Saccharomyces cerevisiae S288C: one gene and its partner. Changing the gene in region 2 together with the main gene of any one other region gives a genetic interaction. Each region holds a gene or a part of one and is shown on either strand. Other genes may lie near its edges.

Region 1 (5,833 bases), 850 kb from region 2:
TTAGTGATGGTTACTTTAATCATGATGACGGAGGTATCCATAGATGATGATGATGCAGCAGAATGGATAGAATCTGACGATACCGATGATGAAGAGGAAGTTACATATGACCACGCTCGTCAAGCTCTTGATCGTGTTGCTTTAAAGCTGGGTGGTGAATATTTGGCTGCACCATTGTTCCAATATTTACAGCAAATGATCACATCAACCGAATGGAGAGAAAGATTCGCGGCCATGATGGCACTTTCCTCTGCAGCTGAGGGTTGTGCTGATGTTCTGATCGGCGAGATCCCAAAAATCCTGGATATGGTAATTCCCCTCATCAACGATCCTCATCCAAGAGTACAGTATGGATGTTGTAATGTTTTGGGTCAAATATCTACTGATTTTTCACCATTCATTCAAAGAACTGCACACGATAGAATTTTGCCGGCTTTAATATCTAAACTAACGTCAGAATGCACCTCAAGAGTTCAAACGCACGCCGCAGCGGCTCTGGTTAACTTTTCTGAATTCGCTTCGAAGGATATTCTTGAGCCTTACTTGGATAGTCTATTGACAAATTTATTAGTTTTATTACAAAGCAACAAACTTTACGTACAGGAACAGGCCCTAACAACCATTGCATTTATTGCTGAAGCTGCAAAGAATAAATTTATCAAGTATTACGATACTCTAATGCCATTATTATTAAATGTTTTGAAGGTTAACAATAAAGATAATAGTGTTTTGAAAGGTAAATGTATGGAATGTGCAACTCTGATTGGTTTTGCCGTTGGTAAGGAAAAATTTCATGAGCACTCTCAAGAGCTGATTTCTATATTGGTCGCTTTACAAAACTCAGATATCGATGAAGATGATGCGCTCAGATCATACTTAGAACAAAGTTGGAGCAGGATTTGCCGAATTCTGGGTGATGATTTTGTTCCGTTGTTACCGATTGTTATACCACCCCTGCTAATTACTGCCAAAGCAACGCAAGACGTCGGTTTAATTGAAGAAGAAGAAGCAGCAAATTTCCAACAATATCCAGATTGGGATGTTGTTCAAGTTCAGGGAAAACACATTGCTATTCACACATCCGTCCTTGACGATAAAGTATCAGCAATGGAGCTATTACAAAGCTATGCGACACTTTTAAGAGGCCAATTTGCTGTATATGTTAAAGAAGTAATGGAAGAAATAGCTCTACCATCGCTTGACTTTTACCTACATGACGGTGTTCGTGCTGCAGGAGCAACTTTAATTCCTATTCTATTATCTTGTTTACTTGCAGCCACCGGTACTCAAAACGAGGAATTGGTATTGTTGTGGCATAAAGCTTCGTCTAAACTAATCGGAGGCTTAATGTCAGAACCAATGCCAGAAATCACGCAAGTTTATCACAACTCGTTAGTGAATGGTATTAAAGTCATGGGTGACAATTGCTTAAGCGAAGACCAATTAGCGGCATTTACTAAGGGTGTCTCCGCCAACTTAACTGACACTTACGAAAGGATGCAGGATCGCCATGGTGATGGTGATGAATATAATGAAAATATTGATGAAGAGGAAGACTTTACTGACGAAGATCTTCTCGATGAAATCAACAAGTCTATCGCGGCCGTTTTGAAAACCACAAATGGTCATTATCTAAAGAATTTGGAGAATATATGGCCTATGATAAACACATTCCTTTTAGATAATGAACCAATTTTAGTCATTTTTGCATTAGTAGTGATTGGTGACTTGATTCAATATGGTGGCGAACAAACTGCTAGCATGAAGAACGCATTTATTCCAAAGGTTACCGAGTGCTTGATTTCTCCTGACGCTCGTATTCGCCAAGCTGCTTCTTATATAATCGGTGTTTGTGCCCAATACGCTCCATCTACATATGCTGACGTTTGCATACCGACTTTAGATACACTTGTTCAGATTGTCGATTTTCCAGGCTCCAAACTGGAAGAAAATCGTTCTTCAACAGAGAATGCCAGTGCAGCCATCGCCAAAATTCTTTATGCATACAATTCCAACATTCCTAACGTAGACACGTACACGGCTAATTGGTTCAAAACGTTACCAACAATAACTGACAAAGAAGCTGCCTCATTCAACTATCAATTTTTGAGTCAATTGATTGAAAATAATTCGCCAATTGTGTGTGCTCAATCTAATATCTCCGCTGTAGTTGATTCAGTCATACAAGCCTTGAATGAGAGAAGTTTGACCGAAAGGGAAGGCCAAACGGTGATAAGTTCAGTTAAAAAGTTGTTGGGATTTTTGCCTTCTAGTGATGCTATGGCAATTTTCAATAGATATCCAGCTGATATTATGGAGAAAGTACATAAATGGTTTGCATAAAGACGTTTAATAGAAAGAAGAACAATGTTAAGTAGTTCTATAAGGAATATTAAATGAATATTGTCTTTTTTGATGATTTAAAAACATATAATGTAACAATAGTGTTCTTTTTAATTTACCGGTGGTAATAGCGAATAGAATCTTATAAAACTTACATAGAAAAAAAATATATACTATACTTACAACTTTTCATTTTTTTCGTAAAAACTACCCCACAATGAAATAAGATACCATACCTTATCGAGTTATTATGTATGTGTCGAAGCTTTTTAAACCAAAGCAAAACCGACACCAGCGGCAATGGATAAGGAAATGATGGAGGTAAAGACCACTTGTGCTAAGTTAGCTTTAACGTTGGTGGCAGCATTCTTCTTGCTAGAAGATGAAGATGAAGCTGAAGAAGAAGAAGAAGAACTGGAAGAACCAGAAGAGCCGGAGTTAGACTTGGAAGAAGACCCCGAAGCGTTAGAAGAGGCAGTACTGGATTCAGTTCCGGAACCCAAATCAACACTACCTGATGCAGAGTTGGTACCCATACTACCAATCTCTTTCAAAGCGGAGGAGCAACTAGCTTGCGTGGTGGCAGTTTGTAGAGTGGCAGAACCGCTGAAGCTACAGTCAGATTTGCTACCACCACTCTTCTCGTAGTACAAATTCATAACGAAAGATAGCTGTTCCTTTGGTGTACAGAAAGAGTAAGCACCATACTTACCGGCGGTACCGTTTGCTGAAATACCGCTACAGTCGACTTCATTACAGATCCAGTTAAATAAGGTTTCGTAATCATCAGAATCAACGTCATCGGAAACAACACAACTATTGGCTGCATTCATACATGAACACAAGCCTCCGTTTGGAGTTGGTGGTAATTCTGTTGCAGCGGACCAGTACTTACCAGTAGCTGGACAAGCAACATCACTTGTTGTTGCACTGTAAGACTTTGTGTTGGCGGAAGTTGGTGATATTTTGTTGATTTCAGAAGAATAGTTGTTGAAGTCATCCAAAGTTTTAACATCATTACCATCGATGCTAACTAAACCGTATTTGTTAGTCTCTTCGAAGTACATGTATACGATACCACCAGACCAGACATCTGTCATATTAGAACCGTACAAGGCTTCAACCTCAGTAAATAGTCTTGGTGTTACTTCGTTACAACCGTATTCAGAGAAGAAAACAGGAATAGATAAGTTTTTGAATTCTGCAGTTCTATCAGCATAACCAGAAGTTTTGAAGTCAGATTTACCACACCATTCATACATATTAATACCGTAAAAATCAGCCTTAACATCATCATCACCACAAGCGAAATAATCAGTCATCTTAACTCTGGTATCTTCGTCATCATTGGAAGAGTAGCCAACTGGAATTTTTCTGTAGTTCTTGTCGCTGATGTATTGTCTGACGTCTCTAATAGCTGCCTTCACGAAAGCAGATGCATCTGTGTTGGTGTAATTGTTAGTAACTTCATTACCGGCGAAGAAACCCAAAACGTTGGTGTAATTAGCAAAAGTGTCAACAACGGTTTTGTAGCTGTTGAACAAGTCAACAGTCCAAGTTGGATCGTCTCTATTGATAGAGGTGGCTGGAGCTGCTAAATCAGCGATGACATAGATGTCAGCATCATTCAAAGCCTTCATACATTCGGAGTGATCTAGAGTGGTATTGATAGCGTAGACACGGATAACATTTGTGTTCAATTTTTTGAGGTATGGAATATCTCTGGAACAACTCTCATAATTGGCCAAAGGATCGTTGACAGTAGATCCGCTAGTTTCATTAGCGGTATCAGCCTGATAAGCAACACCTCTTATGTAGAACTGACTACCGTTGTTGGAGTAGAAAAACTTATTACCAACAACTTCAATCGCTGGAACATCGTCCGCAGTTGCGACGCCAGCAAAAAAAGCAGCAGCGGTTGCTAACTTTGAAAGGGATTTAAACAACATTGTTGAGATTTAGCTGTGTTTGTTGTTTTTGTTTTATCAGACTTTAAAAATAAAAACTGATTTTGAAATAGCTTAATAAAACGACACAACTATTTATGGATATCTAATTTGTTCGAGGAAAACAACCACGACTTTTCCTCTTAAATAAAAAAATCCGTGTCAACAGTAGTAGAGGGAAAAGTTTTTCAAACCTCGAGGATTATCGGGTATTTTACTAATAAACCGCGCAGGCTGTATGAGGAATACCAAAAGTAGAAATTTCTCATTATTTTCCCGACTTTTCTTTTTCCCATCTCCACGTTTGCGGCACGAAAACTCAGTGTAAAATAAGAAGCAAACAAAACGCGAGCCGCGAAAATATATCGAACTAAAAGTACGCAAAAGAATAGCCAGGGCTGGCCTGTGAATTCATAAAAAGTCTGAGCCGGCTATGATAGGCACCAGCTCGCTTTATCAGCTACTCAAAATAACTTTTTTTTTTTATCCCTATGCGACAGTCCTAAAGGTAGGTAAAGTTGGTGTTGTAGTCAGGATTGTCGATGGAGCATTTGGACCAGTATCGTTGTTGTTTTGGTTGTTAGGTTGGAAGATTCCTTCGAAAAGGGTGCCTTCCAGCAATTCTTGCGGACTAGATACGAAATCACCAGCAAAGAATGGCGCGATGAGCATAAAAAGGAGCACACCTAGCATCACAAAATATAGAGAGAAATATTTTGAAACTATCCTACTTCTTAATGCTCTCTGCTTTCGAGTCAAAATTCTTTTATGCGCGATAATACTTCTTGGATTCATCCAAAATAGCACCATTGTATGCCAGTAATCGATAAATGGTAACAATATTATGGGCGTTTGTATAAATAAGAGGAAGTGACCAAGAAAGAAATCTGCTGCAAAATAACTAGATTCCATAATCTTCACGAAGTATTCTCGTATGGGCTGTAAAATGATAGACCAGCCCATGCCCGTATTGTACCATTTACCATTCCACCATGCCAAATGTGCCTTATTGTTTTTATACTCCCTTGTCAAGAATATCGTCGTAAAGACCTTGAAAAGAATCAGATGCATATTGATGCACGTAATAAGCAGTATCAATGTACGGGTAAAGTTCCAACCTTGTAAGAACCACATCAGTTCGAAATCTAAAAGATAGACCAAAACCGAGAAAGTGTGTGCAATAAACGCAATCACGGCACCTGCGTCTTTACAACAATATGACAATCCAGGAACCACAAAAAGTGAAACCCAAAATAATAGAAAAAGCACTATTGAGTTAAGAAAGATTGGCAAAAAAGTTACGAGCAACAAACGGAAAACAGCGCTAGTTGGTGTTGAGTCAGAGACCCCTGTTTGTGCATTAATGAAAGAAAAAGCGGTGAAGTTGAAGAGGAACACACAGAAAGGTAGAAATAGTTCTGCAAAGAAGACGTTCCAAAACCTCGCTTTCTTTGAATCATGGCCTGAATCTTCGGAAATATCATCTACAGTTTTACTTTTATAGCCCGTAAATCTTGATCGAGAACTCTTGACAAAGTTTGCCC
Region 2 (10,071 bases):
ATGATTGGTCCGAATGAATAGGTCATGAGAAAATGCATATTTTTGAGGCATTTCAGCAATGATCGGCAATCTGCACATATTCGTATTGTTTCCCTGAGTAAGTTATTTGCGGAAAGAGACATTCTATTGCTTTGGAGTATTTTGTGGTCTTCGACAATAAAGCGAAGGAATAATAGGTTCGTTGCTAGCGACAAGCAACACATAGTTGTAGTGATGCTATAGCAAAGAAAGGTCACAGATTCATTATTGACCTTTTAAATGGTGCCCAGTGGCAATTGCCGTTTTAGCATTCTTTAAATGCGTAGTATATGAGTTTTAAAGTGCTTTGTTGTTCACGTGCTTTTCACGTGTATGATTACTTAACCGGGTAGCGCCGGTCTTTAATATGCTTTCCAGATTAGGAAAGAACATAAATAAAAACACAAAATAAGAAAGTGTCAATCATCCGCATTGAAAGAAAGAAAAGATTTTTTTATCCCTCAATTGTACATGAAAACAGAGACCTTTCAAAACGTATTTTAACATTCTTTTACTCTTTTCTTGCACCTGCAGCCTTAGGTCAGTAAGAAAAAAAGTAGGTAGCAATGAGCCCAAGTCCATCAGTGTCGCCAAGAAGGACGCTCAATAACAAATCATCTTACATCAATAACAGCGGTGGGCTGGTCCTGCCTCCTACGCAGTTTAATTTGAATCAGCAGCCAGTCCTGAGCTTCCAACAAAAAGCGACTTTCGATTCCAACCAGCAGTTTTTCTATTATCCAGAGTCACCCACAAAAAACCTGAGACCAAGGTTTAACAGTATTTCGCAGGTTAATAAAGGAGTTAATGAAGACCATTATACCGGGGGCGGTAGCAGTAATAATAACAGGCCATCTAGATATACAAATACCATGGGCGCTGCAAACACCAATGTAAATTCCCATCCGCATCATCAGTCGGTGTCGCATTTAAATTCTAAATCTCTTAAATTCAATCAAACGAAGGAAGTGAGCAGCATAAATGAAATTATTTTTCCTTCCAGAACGTGTACAAAGAAACGGTATTTTACCAAGCCAATTGATTTGTATGGTACAAGAAGTAGCACTAGTGTGGCACCTAAGTTGACGAATTCTCCCACGAAATCAAAAACAAATTTCAACATCAAGAAGTGCATCTTACCTAGGTCCGTCGTTACCACATATAAATTACCATCTCCAGTGCACGAAACGATAGACGATATATCCAAAAAAATCATAATCCTGCTAATTTCGTTGAAGTTTGAGAAAAACTATCACTTCTTGCAACCTATTCAATTGTCCACAAATAGTAAGACACGGATCTCAAAATCACTAGACGAATTATGCGGAGTGCAGCTGACATCAACGTTACGGCAACAAAAGCAGCTGCAAGGTAACAGCAAGCCCGTAAAGAATCTCCCTAATTCCAATGCGAAGCAGAGAGCCGGGGCCAGTGTTTCCACAAATGCCAACGAAAGCTTTGAATTGAGTTTTGATGGAAAGGCAATGGATAGATCTGATATATTTCGAATGGTAGATTCTTTTAGCATCGCCATTTCAGATGAAGATGAGGAAGATGAGGAGGAGGATAGCTTTCAGCAGAGAAGTGCGAACAACAGAATCCTCCCTGCGGAGATACTAAGTAATGAACCTTTGAAATGATACGGATTCTCTGTATTCTGTCTATAGTATTTATATACCAATACATTTTTCCGCACTTTGAAGTTTTGCATTTTACTTAATGTAGTTTATTATTAGTTGCCAAAACGAAACATTTAACATGTGAATTAAAAATACAAAAAAAAGCCTATTAACGATCTAAATTTATGACAAAAGACATATAATTATTTTAATGATGCCTTTGTCACAACCGAACACAATATCTTTGAAAAGTGATCCAGCAATCGAATTCAGAATTCGTTGTGCCATTTTTGCCTTACGTTTGCGCCATTGTAATTTCTCTGTGCCGTCTTCTCTTCACTTTATTTCAATATTATCATGCAGTAAACAAGTTGCAGAATAATAAATAATATACGTACCAAATATGTGAACAACTCAGATACTATTCATTTGATATGTTAAAAGTCCTGCATTCCTCTCCCGACATTATATATAAAATGCTCAGCCACCCCTTCGTTGCACAGAAAAAAAGGATGACCTATAATACCAATATTCAATCACAATAGTTATACCAAACTAACACATGGTTGAAGCAGACTACTTACTATCGTGGAGTTAGCTCACTGAAAATTTAATATTTACAGCATTAAACAGTTTTTTCTTTTGTTTTGTCTCCTACATTAATTTCAATATGGATAGCCAAGTAGAAGGCAAAATATCCCCCTCACAGAAGGAGTCCTCCTCCACCTCAGGCCTCGTTTCACCTAGTGAAGATGGCCCAGCACATCAAAAAATACACAGAGACCAATTAAGTGTGGATCAAATCAAGAAAATCAGAGAAGAACGTGCTCAGAAGAGACAGGTACGTAGGAACTCTCTAATATCCCAAGGGAAGGACCCTGACTTCCCAACGCCTGACTTACAATTCATTGAAAGACCATTCCTCCCTATCAACCATGATAATTCGAAAGGTCTTACGCCAGCGACCATACAAGTCACCCAAGATTCATTGGACGTTAAAATAATGACCTATAATACTCTAGCACAAACCTTGATTAGGAGAGATTTTTTCCCAGAAAGTGGACCAGCGTTAAAGTGGCATAAGAGATCAAAAGTTTTGGTCCACGAATTGAAAAAGTACAGGCCTGATGTAGTATCGTTGCAGGAGGTCGATTACAATGAACTCAACTTCTGGCAGGAGAATTTCCATAAGTTAGGGTTTGATGTGATTTTCAAAAGGCATGAAGGGAAAACTCATGGACTACTAGTTGCATGGAACAATAAAAAATTCCAGTTAGATAATGATTGGATGCTGGACTACGATAATATATTGGCGGGAAATGTCATTTCAGCAAGAACAAGAACTAAAAATATTGCCCTTATTATATCGCTATATTTCAAGGGTATAACAGATTCATCATCAAGAGGAATTATCGTCGCAAATACACACCTATTTTGGCATCCCTTTGGGGTATTTGAAAGATTAAGGCAATCTTACTTGGTTTTACAAAAGATCCAGGAAATTAAAGCATGTTCCAAATATAATGGCTGGCATAGCCTACTGATGGGTGATTTCAATACCGAACCTGAAGAGCCACCGTACTTGGCCATAACGAAAAGACCACTGATATTAAAAGGCCCAATAAGAGCTATGGTGGAATGCTCACTAGCGTATCGGTATTCAAAAAAAAGGAATGGAGAAGAAAGTGACCAGGATGATGAAGAGTGTGATGAAAAGTCTAGGGGCGAAGGCCATTCAGATCAACCACAAAACCCAAAACCAGAGAGCTTTACAGCCACAAAGGAAGAAAAGGCTCTGGTAAATCAATTAGTTGCGTTGCATAATTCACTACATGTGAAAGGCGTATCTTTGTATGGGATTGGCTACGGTAAAGTGCATCCTGAAAATGCTAACGGAAGCCACGGCGAACCGGGACTCTCAAACTGGGCCAATACATGGTGTGGATTATTAGACTACATATTTTATATCGAGGGTGATCATAATCAGGACACGCGTCAGAAAGAGCCTCTGAATGCTTTTGAAGGAAATAACAACGTAAAAATAATCGGATATCTGAGGATGCCGTGCGCACAAGAAATGCCCAAACACTCCCAACCTTTCGAGGGAGAATATGCTAGTGATCACATTTCCCTAATGTGCCAAATACGCTTGTTTTTTGGGGGGGAGAAAGTGCATAGCTTAAAATAAAGAAACAATATATATAAACAACCTACATTTGTGTTTGAAAGACAGTAATCAACGCTTCGATGGTCACTGGGATTTTTCTTTCAATTTAGCGTCACTTTCACCTTATTCACAGCTTTTACGTGCTATTTTTGGTCACCCTTCCCCTTTCGTTGCGCCTCAACGGGCTAAAAAAAAAAAAATAAAATCAAGCATAGAAACACCACAACAAACCTGCCCTTTTTCCTTGTTTCAGGTTACGTGAAAAGCATCCAGAGAAGATATCCCAAAGACTGAAGAGGTGTAGTTGGCTCATTCACGTCGTTCGTTTATATTATCAAGGAAGGGGTTTTTGATCGGCTCGAACAAGACTCGCAAGAATCCGTTTTCTATTGTTTTTTTTGAGGATTCCAATATGTCAAATTCCAATTCAAAAAAACCTGTTGCGAATTACGCATACCGTCAACAGCAAGATTATAATGGGATGAACGCCATGGTGGGAAATCCAATGATGTATCATCCTGTTGATTTCGTAAACGGTGCCGGCCAATATGGTCCTTCTCAACACCCAGCATATTACACCAACTCACCATTACCTAATATTCCACCAACACCTTTTGATACTGCATACGGTGCCAGTCTTTTTCCATCTCACCTATTGATGGGATCTCCATTTGTTTCCTCGCCTAACATGCAAAGTGGCTATAATTCTGCAAGATCATCTAATCTCAAAAGAAAGGCTTATTCGAGGCCCGTTTCTAATCATAACGGTTACAACGGAAACAGTAACAGTAACCAAAACAATACTAATAACGGAATGGTAACACCCTCGAACTATTATAGAATGGGGAGAAATTCTTTCTCGAGGAACAACAACAGTACGAGGAATGTTACTCACAACAACAATAAGGGGTGCGACACCCGGAACAACAGTGGAAGAAGAACATTCGCAAGGAATAACATTTTCGACGACATACTTCCAGAAATGCTTTTACAAAGACCCTTTTGTATTAATTACAAGGTTCTACCGACTGGTGATGATGCTTATAGAACTAGGTCGCTGCTTATTGAAAATGTGGATCATTCTATTGATTTACACTCTATAGTCAAAAATTTTGTCAAATCCAATACTCTGGAAAGTGCCTACTTAATTGAAGGAGGGAAGAGCGATGATTCAAAAGATGTAGAGACTAAAAATCTATCCATTCTAATAAGCTTTCTAACCAAAGGCGACTGTTTGAACTTTTACAATAACATTTTACAAAGGTTATCTGAATTCAAAACATTTTTGAAATCTGAAGCACTAAATCTGAAATTTGTTTGTCTAAACTATGATCCCAAATGCCTCCCTACCTTTATTGAGAGTGAAGCGTTAACAGAAAACGCTGAAGAAGCCGACATTACCAATGGTTCAACAATGATCAGTGCTTCGCTGCATCATAATATAGCGAACAAAGATGCTACAAGGTCGATTATAATTGAATTCAAAAGCCCCGTGGAGAAAAGCGATTTATTCAAAAAGAAATTACAATTTTTGGACAGGTCAAAAAACAAAAGATACATTTTGGAATCTATCGATTTAGTGAACACAGATGTACCTTCCAATCAATTTCCTGAAAATTACGCCGTTTTAACCTTTTTGAATATCTCTATGGCTATTGAAGTTCTCGATTATTTGAAAAAATACTCCAAAAACTTAGGCATTTCTAAATGTTTTTACGTATCCCTAGCCCCGTTGGTAGTTAGCTCAGCCAGATCTTCGGTTGCTAATATTTACGAGGGTAAAACGAGCACACATCGTTTATCGGTGCCTTCTGTTACTGCTGGGAACAATAACGATAGCAACAACAACGGAAACAATAATAAAAGTAATATGAGTGGTATCACCACACTCAATAATAATAGTAGTATTGGTGTTTCCGTATACGGTCACTCTAATATGAGTTTAACCAGTCTGTCATCATCTGTATCTTTAAATGAAGAGATTGATATGCTTGCGACGAAACTTCAAGGGGTAGAACTTGATGGGACTTATTTAGAAATCAACTATCGCGACTATCAAACACCAACTATTGAAGAACACTCTACTCACTTGAGCAATGTCAAAATTTCAAAGACAACAGAAAACTCTAGGCAATTTTCTCAAGATATCCCATCACCTTTGCCATTAAATGAACATATGTTTATGAATGATTCTAATCAGTCCAATGGAGCGATAATACCTCAACAGTTAATAGCCACACCTTCTCCGGTATCCCCCAATTTGCAAATGAATCAAAGGGTGTTGCCGAATCCAATAACTCAAAGTTTGGAGCAAAATTTCAACGTTTCGGCCAAAGTGGCATCATCCATGGGTTCAGACATAGGCAATAGAACAATTTATATAGGAAACATTAATCCAAGATCAAAGGCGGAGGATATCTGTAATGTCGTGCGTGGAGGAATCCTTCAGAGCATTAAGTACATACCGGAGAAGAAGATATGCTTTGTTACTTTCATCGAAGCTCCATCCGCTGTACAGTTCTATGCAAATTCATTTATTGATCCAATAGTGTTACATGGGAATATGTTGAGAGTTGGATGGGGGCATTATTCTGGTCCATTACCGAAATTAATCTCGTTGGCTGTTACGATCGGGGCAAGTAGGAATGTCTACGTAAGCCTACCAGAGTTTGCATTTAAGGAAAAGTTTATTCACGACCCTCAGTACAAAAAATTGCATGAAACACTATCTTTACCAGATGCGGAACAACTAAGAGAGGACTTTAGTACCTATGGTGATATTGAGCAGATTAACTATTTGAGTGATAGCCATTGCTGTTGGATAAATTTCATGAATATATCTTCTGCGATTAGTCTTGTTGAAGAAATGAATAAGGAATCCACAGTACAAAATGAATCCGGTGAAGTGACGCTTAAAAGGGCGACTGAGGAAAAATTCGGTGGCCGTTATAAGGGCCTTCTGATAAACTACGGCAAAGATCGTTGTGGCAATATAAACAAAAATTTGATAGCAGGTAAAAATTCAAGATTCTATAAGAAAGTTAAAAGACCGAGCTATAATATACGTTTGAGTAAGTTGGAAGAAAAGAGGAGGCAGAATGAAATCGATGAAAAGGAAAAGGCTTTTGATAAACCCTTGAACTTGGAATCCCTAGGAATTAGTCTGGACGCACATAAGGACAACGGCGGTGGTGAAACAGGAACTGCAAATAATACTGGGCATGAAAATGAAAGTGAACTAGAGGCTGAAAATGAAAACGGTAATGAGACTGGAAGTTTCGGTGGACTGGGTCTCGCTGTGGCGAGCTCTGACGTCAAACGTGCGACATCGGATGAAACTGATTATGAAGATATATTTAACAAGTCATCGGGATCTTCCGACTCGTCATCAGACGTCGAGGTCATTATGCACTCCCCGAGCGATCCTGAATACGCTTTAAAATCACAAACTCTAAGAAGCTCGAGTCAGACCGTCATTAATAGTAAGAGACCAGTAAAGATAGAAGACGAGGAAGAAGCCGTAGGAATGTCACAGCTCAATTATAGGTCGTCATTAAGACAAGCTCCTCCAAGAGCTCCCTCAACTTTGTCATATAATCACTCGAAGAACAACGAAACGCCAATGCAAGATATTTTCACAAATGGCGAAACAGCAAATAACAGAAAGAAGAAGAGAGGATCTTTTGCAAGGCATAGAACGATACCAGGATCTGACGTCATGGCCCAATACCTTGCACAAGTGCAACATTCGACATTTATGTATGCAGCCAATATTTTGGGCGCCTCTGCGGAAGACAACACGCATCCTGACGAGTAGTATAGCTGTGCTGAGCCTGAAGTATAATGCATATCCATCGGACTATTTAGACAAAGCCCAAGGAAGCCTAAGGCGGCCTGCCAAGGTGTTTCTCCCTTTTTTTCTCCGATTTCTTTGTATAAACTAAATAATATAGTGATTACTAATGGAATGGCGGTATTATGCACCTAACCTGTTCATTCTGCCACAGATTACGTAAGCGATTTATTGCCGGCACTTGTTGTCTTAATGACCGAGTCACCAATGTGGAACGATAATTTTCTCTGACTCAAACCTGTTAATTTTTTTCTACTTCGTTTCGTTAGCGACGACGTCAAGCCGCAGGATCCTGTCTGCCTTGACCTCTTCTCTACCTTCAGAACTTACACTTTTCAGGTAAGATGACCTTTATATAAAAGTTGACACTATTACAGTTGTTTATAAACGTCTGAAGAATGAGACGTTTTTATAAAATGAATAAAATGCATATTCTAAGTTTAAAACAACATTTTCAAAGTGTACGATTGTAAAAAGAGAGGCAATTAGAGAATCTCAAACAGGTAATAATAATGGGCAATCAGTCATTAGTTGTGCTTACGGAAAGTAAGGGTGAGTATGAGAATGAGACAGAACTACCTGTTAAAAAATCGTCACGAGATAATAATATCGGAGAATCTTTAACAGCAACAGCTTTTACGCAGTCTGAAGATGAAATGGTAGATAGCAATCAGAAATGGCAGAACCCAAACTATTTTAAATATGCATGGCAAGAATATCTTTTTATATTCACATGCATGATAAGTCAGCTTCTAAATCAAGCAGGCACTACACAGACTCTTTCGATCATGAATATTCTTTCGGACAGTTTTGGCTCAGAAGGAAACTCAAAGTCATGGCTGATGGCATCTTTTCCGCTAGTTTCAGGCTCATTTATTTTGATTAGTGGCAGACTAGGTGACATATACGGATTAAAAAAAATGTTGTTAGTAGGATATGTTCTGGTTATTATATGGTCTTTGATTTGTGGGATTACCAAGTATTCTGGTAGCGATACTTTTTTTATTATTAGTAGAGCCTTCCAAGGGCTAGGGATTGCATTTGTTTTACCTAATGTGCTGGGAATAATTGGTAATATATATGTAGGTGGTACTTTTCGTAAAAACATCGTGATTAGTTTTGTTGGTGCGATGGCCCCTATTGGAGCAACTTTAGGTTGTCTTTTTGCAGGACTGATCGGTACCGAGGACCCAAAACAATGGCCATGGGCATTCTACGCGTATAGCATAGCCGCTTTCATTAATTTTGTGCTCTCCATATATGCCATTCCGAGTACTATACCAACAAATATTCATCATTTTTCTATGGATTGGATTGGTTCTGTTTTGGGCGTGATAGGTCTCATTTTATTAAATTTTGTGTGGAACCAAGCTCCTATATCGGGTTGGAACCAGGCTTACATCATCGTAATTTTAATCATTTCTGTGATTTTTCTTGTCGTTTTCATCATTTATGAGATTCGATTTGCCAAGACTCCACTATTGCCGCGCGCAGTTATAAAGGATCGTCATATGATTCAAATTATGCTGGCTTTATTCTTTGGATGGGGCTCTTTTGGCATCTTTACGTTTTATTATTTCCAATTTCAATTAAATATAAGGCAGTACACGGCATTATGGGCTGGTGGAACTTACTTTATGTTTTTAATTTGGGGTATTATTGCCGCCTTACTGGTAGGATTTACTATCAAGAATGTGTCTCCATCAGTGTTTTTGTTCTTTTCTATGGTAGCATTCAATGTGGGCTCAATAATGGCAAGTGTTACACCGGTTCACGAGACATACTTTCGTACTCAGTTAGGAACGATGATAATTTTAAGTTTTGGGATGGATCTTTCATTTCCTGCTTCTTCCATTATCTTTAGTGATAATTTACCGATGGAGTACCAAGGCATGGCTGGGTCATTGGTGAATACTGTTGTCAATTACTCCATGTCCTTGTGTCTCGGTATGGGTGCCACAGTAGAGACACAGGTCAATTCAGACGGAAAGCATCTTTTGAAAGGCTATAGAGGTGCTCAGTACCTTGGGATAGGATTGGCAAGTTTAGCATGCATGATTAGCGGGCTTTACATGGTCGAAAGCTTCATAAAAGGCCGCAGGGCAAGAGCTGCTGCAGAATACGATTGCACTGTGGCTTAGCGGAAAGCGGTTATTAAGGTAAATAGATAGAAATACACCGCTGTCATGCGATTATATAGACATGGGGCATTTAGACACTGAAAGTCTTCATATCTCAACATGCAACTAGTAATAGTACAATTTTTAGTACCCTTTAATCTTTATTGTTCGCTCCCTAATAACGAAGCCTTGAACTGTAACCAGATCCCAGGTTACCCCTTATCCTTAAGAGGTCTTTTATTTACTCTACATAATATATATTTTTCAATCCATTGAAGAGGATTAAAAGAAGAA

Evidence for each region. Genes that interact genetically often act in the same process or in processes that back each other up.
Region 1: mutations in NAB6 (region 2) and GAS1 are lethal when combined (synthetic lethality), as found in Saccharomyces cerevisiae (4 studies listed by BioGRID, with this or other methods).

What each region holds. Positions count from the first base shown.
Region 1 is NC_001145.3:885,462-891,294, reverse strand, and holds GAS1 (1,3-beta-glucanosyltransferase GAS1), read right to left. Parts: upstream 4,293-5,833; coding exon 2,613-4,292; downstream 1-2,612. Other genes in the region: importin PSE1, read left to right, coding at 1-2,343; FKS3 (putative 1,3-beta-D-glucan synthase), read right to left, coding at 4,779-5,833.
Region 2 is NC_001145.3:30,027-40,097, forward strand, and holds NAB6 (Nab6p), read left to right. Parts: upstream 1-4,216; coding exon 4,217-7,621; downstream 7,622-10,071. Other genes in the region: YML119W (uncharacterized protein), read left to right, coding at 585-1,658; NGL3 (3'-5' poly(A) RNA exonuclease), read left to right, coding at 2,308-3,825; ATR1 (borate transporter), read left to right, coding at 8,170-9,798. UniProt on the Saccharomyces cerevisiae protein: RNA-binding protein that associates with mRNAs encoding cell wall proteins.